Drosophila melanogaster: one gene and its partner. Changing the gene in region 2 together with the main gene of any one other region gives a genetic interaction. Each region holds a gene or a part of one and is shown on either strand. Other genes may lie near its edges. The genes, in order: Diedel and key.

What was found.
Region 1: of key (region 2) and Diedel, changing one suppresses a phenotype caused by changing the other (phenotypic suppression), as found in Drosophila melanogaster (one study listed by BioGRID).

Annotation. Positions count from the first base shown.
Region 1 is NT_033777.3:29,491,894-29,494,899, reverse strand, and holds Diedel (diedel), read right to left. Parts: upstream 1,049-3,006; 5' UTR 1,022-1,048; coding exon 674-1,021; 3' UTR 633-673; downstream 1-632. Other genes in the region: CG2310 (uncharacterized protein), read left to right, coding at 2,179-2,504, 2,662-2,729, 2,791-3,006.
Region 2 is NT_033778.4:24,784,796-24,789,136, reverse strand, and holds key (kenny), read left to right. Parts: upstream 1-1,725; 5' UTR 1,726-1,846; intron 1,847-2,006; 5' UTR 2,007-2,095; coding exon 2,096-2,368; intron 2,369-2,432; coding exon 2,433-2,535; intron 2,536-2,593; coding exon 2,594-2,898; intron 2,899-3,041; coding exon 3,042-3,401; intron 3,402-3,453; coding exon 3,454-3,582; 3' UTR 3,583-3,623; downstream 3,624-4,341. Other genes in the region: Reg-5 (rhythmically expressed gene 5), read left to right, coding at 1-158, 287-849; CG3589 (uncharacterized protein), read right to left, coding at 3,737-3,825, 3,877-4,336.

The DNA of each region.
Region 1 (3,006 bases), on a different chromosome or scaffold from region 2:
CTGTTGCAAATTACTGGCAAATCGGATTGATAAATTCCGGCGAAAATCGACGGATTCTGCGGCTTTACATGGGCGAATGCTCCGCGTTCTCGACGGCTCCACAACTCTGAGAAAACTGAGAAAATCAGGCGTCCGCGGAAAATGGTTTATGCCAAAATTCACTCGGCTAGTTGATCGTACTACATGCGGAGTACATGGCTACATGGGCATCTGGGGATCTGTGGATCTGTGGATATGGAGGGGTTATTCGGGGCGATCTCTGCGAGTGCAGGCGTCATTTGCTTTTCCCATGGCGAGCGGCCAACAGAGGGGCGGTTGCCCAGGGGGCGTGGTCGATCGTTGGGAAACAGATATTACAAATGCTAGAAACTACAAAAAATCACTTCTTATGATTTGAGCACTGGATTTTATTCAAAAATTAGCCCATATCATCTCAGATTTTGATGATAGTTGTTTTTTTTTTAGTATAATAGTTTTAGTTAATAGCGTAATTAATGGAATTCAAGATTAAAAATAAGAATAGTTCCTAGTAATCAGATTGAACTGTTTACATTTGATTAGAAAGTGGGAACCTTATCAATTTCATGCATATATAAAATAAAATACACATAATTAATTAGTAATTTCTGGATGCAATTAAAGCTTCTCTTTATTGTTTATGTGATGCAAGGGGTTAAAATGGCAGCCTGGTGACTTTGATGATCTGGATTCCGTACTGCTGGTTCCTCCTCACAAATTCCTGTGACCAATCGCCGCTCAGACAGCCGCCGTCGCAGTTGCAGCCGAAGATGTTGCACGATCCCTGGCCGCAGTAGGCGCCCAACTGGGCAACACCATCGGCGCAGATCGTCACTTCGCAGCCGTTGGGATAGTTTTCGATTGCACGCACAGCCTCGCAGTCGCCTCTGTCCATCTTGAATTCCACCAGCTCCCGGGAGGTGCAGCATTCCGACCGAGCCACATGGACAAAGGCCAGGGCGCAGATCCCGACGAGAAGCAGGCTGACTACTGGGGATGCCATGATTGGATTTACTGGGAGAACTAATGCTTTTCACCCCGGCAAACAGCGATTTTATACGCTCACAGTGGGTGCAGGGAATTCGCTTAGTTGGCAAATGCGCTCCAAGTTATTAGGAAAATTGATTAGGCCCAGTTCTCGGGAAATTTACTTCTAACATAACTCAAACACATAGTCATGAAATACTGTCTAGTTACTGCGCTTTAGTTTAAATAAAACTTGTAATAATCAAAAATAAAATTTTAAACACAGATCACTTGTAACGGAAATCCCATTTGAATTTTGGTGATCGGCGTTGCCAGACGGCTAAAAGCGTTAGCACTAGCGGCCCGTTCTGATCAGAACGCAGTGGCGAAACGACGGTCGTTCAGTCGTTTCTTCGCCGCTCAACCGTTCGGTCGCTTCTTCGGTCGCCCGCCTATCGATATCGATAAACGTAGGTGTGCCTGCAGTGCGCCTGTGTGCGTGTATGTGTCAGCAGTGCAGTTTTCCTGTTTATCCCTGAATTCTGTGAGAAATGTGATATAGAAACAGCATTAGCGAACAACTAAACGCTTTGCGCAACCGAAATTCAGCTGCTTAAAGGGACATCGAAAGTGGTAGCTGCAAACATTATAGTTTGTTTATATCTGGTACAGTGCGCGTTGCAACCTGTTCTATGTGTGTGTGTTTGGGCAGGTGCGACAGTGTGTGTGTGTGTTAAGGGACGCCCAAAGAGTTGTTGTTGTTGCAAAGTTATCGATTTTAAATTTCAAGAGATGCTCACTATCGTCAAAAAAAGGAGTTTTTTAAACTAATCAGATAAGCTAACAATTGTTAGTAACTTCTTAGAAAAAAGCTTCGTTACAAACTCAAAATTGCTGTTAAATTTGAACAGCTAGTAATAATGTTCTTTCTCCATTTGAGGAAATGTAAAACGAAACCCACAATTGCGTTTAAGCAATCATCTTGAACGAATTGGGCATAATTACAATTAGATGAGCAATTAGAGCGCTCGAAAAGTGGCCAATTAATTAACTTGACTGCCCATTACCATAAGTACTTTAAAGTTGAATTAAGATCAACTTGACCTGGCTGGGGATCAAAGATACCCATATTCTATTCACTATTCACTTGTCCGCTTATTTCAGATACTCCTGCGAGCAGATACCATTCGCACGATGTCGTACTACGCGGAGCGAGCCCTGTCCCTACTCTACCCGCTGGCCATCGTTTCATCGCTGGTCTGCTGCATCACCTCGGCGGTGGCCTGGACACACTGGCAGTACGTGCTCAATGCCTGCCCGGACACCAATTGCGGCTGCGTGCTGCACGGCAAGAGCACGTTCCACAGCTTCGAGGGCGGCAACGTCGCCTACTGCCACTTCGCCACCTACGGCCTGCTGCTGCCGCTGCTCTTCGCCGTCGTCCTGGGCGTCTACCACGGCTACCGCATGTGCATCGGTCGGGGCAAGCCCAAGGCGGGCACGGCCACCATCCGTCAGCGGTAAGAGCGGGCGATCGCGATCGAGTGTCGGCGGGTCAATGGGGTTAATCGGCCAGCCACACTCGTTCGTCTGTCTGGCTATGAGTAATGCCATCATGGGCTCCAACTTGGAGCAGCATCAACTGTTTGCTTACGCCTCTCTGCTCTCTGCTTGCAGCTCCGGTGACATGATCGTGGTGACCACCGAGTCGGAACTCACGCCCGATGGTCTCTCGCCCTACTACTGTGAGTGTCCATCGTCTCCGAACTTAACTATGTACAAATGTGTAATACTTAACTAATTTAGGGCTGCCCGCCACCGTCATCTCGACAATAATGGCCGTCTACCAACTGGTCTACTCGGCCGTGTTCACGGATGGCTTCGAGGTGACTTGCAAGCAGTACAGGGAGTCGCTGCTGAAGGAGATCCAGGGCGTGGGCAACATTGTGCCCGTGATCAAGTCGCGGCTCTCGTGCGCCGCCGTCTTCGACTTCATGGACTATCTGGTGGAGAGCGTGTCGT
Region 2 (4,341 bases):
GGTAAGCGTGCACTGCAAGTCAACAGCCGCCGTCGGAGGCCTCCCAGTGAACCAGTGCAAGCACAACCTGCTCGGTTACGGGTCCGCCAAGCTGCAGACGCTCTCCGACGTACAGCTGGAGGCACTAGATCCGTATCAGCGCGATGCCAACGAGCTGAGTAAGTGCCTCTATCTGCGTGGGAGAATGATTGATTTCCGCGTCAGAACTTCCGCAGTGCGCAGTCGCGACGTGCTCGACGTGAGCTCTAAATCTCGGTGTCGATCTAATCGCTCTTTTCTTCCGCAGTCTGGTCATCGATTATGGGGGACCATCCGAGCGGAGCCAGCCTGGTGACAACGAGGCAGCCGCTCCAACAGCCCCTGCCAACTCCTCCTGCGTCCTCTCTGATCATCCTAACGCGCCAGCAACTTCCGCACGGAGCATCCCATGCCCACCCCATCCAGAGCTCCGGCTCCGCCACCAATCCAATCTTCGAGAGCGGCGAGCAGAAGCACAAATACGCCATGGACATGGACAAGGCCTACGGCTACGGGCCGCAGTCCAGCAGTGAGCTCCCAATGGCCGCCGCACTGACTTCAGAACCGTCCAAAAGATTCCTCACCGGACCTTTGGTGATCCGGGTGCGACCCGATGGCTCCCCGGTGGAGGAGGACAAGATGATGCCACTGCCGCGGGACGAAGACCTGCCCTACTTTCATCTTGGTCTGGCCGCCGCTCAGCCCAACAGGCACCGCAAGATCGCCACAATCAGCTCCTTAAAGCAGCAGCACTTCGCCTCTATCCTGCAGAGCGACCTCCAGCCACCCCACCAGACGCAGAGGCGTCTGTTCCGCCAGCAACAGGCGTAAGATCGCGGTCAGAGGATCCGCAGGCCTAGACCTAAGTCCTTGTGTGAATGTGATAGAGCAGATGAGGAGATCCTGCATCATAGAGTGCGAGAGTGAACGTGTGAGTCTTCTAGTTGTAGCCGTTTGAGGAGTTTTCTTGAATGCACTTGAGCTTTAATGGAATTTCGTATCGTATTCGTTTAAGTTTTTTTAATTTTATTTATTCGCGTGCATTAGTCGTAAGATCACATAGAGATTCTTGAGTAATAAACCGCATGATGATTATCATTGTTACGAACGTATTAATTCTAAAATGTGTGGATTGGGATGGAAATGAGGATGGGGATGCGGTCTGTGCACATAGCCAGGAACCGGTTGGTTATGGTAATACGAAAGTCGCATCTCGGCCAGCCACCAGTTCCTTGTCGCGAGCTCCACTCACACCTATATTTAACACGCGAAAGCCTTATTAACCCACATCTACAGAGTTGAGCCGAACAATGGAGGTACTGAATCCGGTTTGGCGGGTTCAGAACGCACTGCGCCGTCCATTAGAATTTGCGAGTTTTGGCAATTACATTTCGGTGTAATTTCGCTGGCAACTGGTTTGTCAGGCTCAGGCCTTTAGGACGCGCCCATTAATCTCAGCTGAGCAACAAAGGAAGGTAAATTGGGATGCACGTCACTGGGCTTGAATAAATGATGCCGGGACTTTCCACCGCCCTTGCAGTGCAAACTGCACTTCATATGCACGAGTTTTGGGCGTGTAATCAGTTTTATTGAAATTAGCTGCTTTTAAATTTAGATAGACGAGCTCGCCGATTGTCGATAACATTTCCGATTATGACAATATGACAATCAATGACACAAAAAAAGGCACATTTGAAACGATTGCGGTCACACTGGTCTAAGTTGTTTGGTAAATTAGTTAAAAGTAAATATTACTCCGAAAACAATTTTATTTCCTTAAAGCTTGTCAGCAAAGCAAAACGAGATAAGGAACGCAGTAGTATATAAGGTATATATGCAATAAACATGACAATTGCTTATTCCATTGTGACGCGTCGATGTAATTCCCACGCCTAATGAATCATTGCCCTAAAACTCATTTATTATACATTTATCCTTACTATTGCCGATATCAAATTAATCGATTTGGCTAATACTTTGCCGTCTAGTTTTCGAAAGAGGGGAATTCCCTCACCTGCGTTCACAGTCGTAAAATCTGATTATTAATACCCGCCATTGCTACCGCGACAACGGAGACATGTCGGACGAAGAGTCATTCGTTATCTTGGGTAGCTCGCCGTGCTCCTCGCTCATGCCGGACAGTTCCTTGCGGTCCGACGTATGTGGTAACGCGCAGGAGGCGAAGGAAACCGTTGCCTCTACGAGCACTCAGCCGCCAACAGTGAACTGTATTCCAGTCAGCATCACTGCATCGCAGCAGCAGCACAAATCGCTGGATTCCGGATCTTCCCAGCAACAATCCCTGGCGACCAGCTTCATTATGGGAGAAATTCAATCCGATGTCCTGAAGGTGAGCGTCTGGTTACCGTCTGGTCTGTTTAAATTCTAACAACAGTCTCTAAATCCAACCACAGAACAGTGTTTATTCGCAGTTTCCCAGCCTCTGCTCGTTGCAGGGCTCCGCAGAGGAAGTAGTTAAGCTGCAGAACATGATGACCGAGTACCTCGCGCTAAAGAGTGAGCATTTTTTTCCCGTAAAGTAATATACAGCAATAATATGCCATTATCCGGCCAGGCACACTTGACAAGGTCAACCAAACCATGCTGAACTACCACAACCTGACTCAACAATGGCGCCAGGAAGCCGCCGACCGAGAACACCAGTACAAGGAGCATGTGAAAGAGTGCCAAGCGCAAATCGCGATCCTTCGCGTGGAAAACCAAGAGCTGAAGAGGGACCTAGAGACGAAAATCGAGCAGATTGAAGGGGTTCATACCATCAGGCTAAAGGAGCAGGATGAGCTTCGTAAGAGCGTATCTGAGAAACAGTCCCTGATCGACAACATGCGCGTGGAGATTGACAAACTGAAACAGCTAAATGTATGTCTACCAGTTGCTCCAAGCGATAGGGCAAATACTTGCATACAGACTCGCAATCATTGCTATTCTGCATTGTAAACTGGACAGTATCTCTTTAAAATATTCTCTTCCGGGCTCGCACCCTTTTTCTTCTGTTATTTCAGCACTCGTTTGAGTTCGTACCAGAGTATGCAACCGAATCAAAATCCCAGGAGCTGATAAAGAAAATGCAGCTGGATATTAACGAGCTGAAGGCCAGGGACATCCAGAAGCAGGAGGTGATCAAAGGTCTACAGATCCAAAACGATATCTACCGCAGGGACTTTGAAATGGAGCGGGCAGATCGCGAGAAGAATGCCGGAGAGAAAGATCAGTATCTTATGGACTTGCGATCATTGCAGAGGAGGAACCAGGAGCTTATCGAAGCTCTGGCCGAGTCCCACAAGGCAAGCAAGGCGTGCTCGACCGCTTCTCCGCTGAGTTCAAGCAGAAGCAATTTGCGAGAGGAGCAGAGACCAGTAAGAGTACGCTGATTCCAAAGTCCATAAATGTCAATACTAATTTTTGTATCGGTAGATTCTCGACCCAACAGGCGCCTCATCCCGGACTTCAGACACCACTTTGCGATGTCCGATCTGTTCAAAGTCCTTTAACGCCTTAAGCGTGCTTCAGAGTCACGTTAACGATTGTTTGGATAAAAACTAAGCACAATTTCTTACCATATTAATAAATTTATATATATATATATATTTTCTTTTTTTACAATATCTTGTTTAATCTTAAAAGCCTGGCTAACCGGCCATATTATATAAAAACACTAATTACAGTTTCGTTAACAATGAACAATGCACGAGTCTCCTCAGAGTTTGCTGCGAATGGGGGGCATTTCCAGAGACCACACGCGGTGTACATCTGGACTGGCTACCAGGTTGCTAAGCACATTTAAGTCTGCAAAGAATTAAGATAAGCTAGAAACCATCGATTCGACATTCTGCTCACCGTTGGTGCGTGCAAACTGCTGCAACGTGTTGCGGATATCACAAATTGGAATGGCTGTATTTATGTTTGGGTAGACGACGTCGTCTAATTTAATGTTGGACACACAAACGCCTAGGATGCATCCATTCTGGTCGAACATCGGTCCTCCACTTTGGCCCGCCTGCACGCTGCCATCGGACATAATGGCCCCGGTGTCGCACTTGATGACCCTCCCTTGAAAAATCGAAGGGTTGAAGTCGTGCCTGAAGCTGAAGTTAACGTAGTAGGGAAACCCGGCGTTGTACACCATTTGCCCGACGGTGGCCGGACTCCTGGCCAGTCGCACGCAGCATTGCTCCGGCACATCCTGCGGAGCTGTGAGTAGAGCCAAGTCGAAGGGCTTATCGCTGTCCGGATTGCACCAAATCACCTCAGACTGGAACTCGCGATCGGCAGCACGGCAATTAACAGTCTCAATGTTCTGCG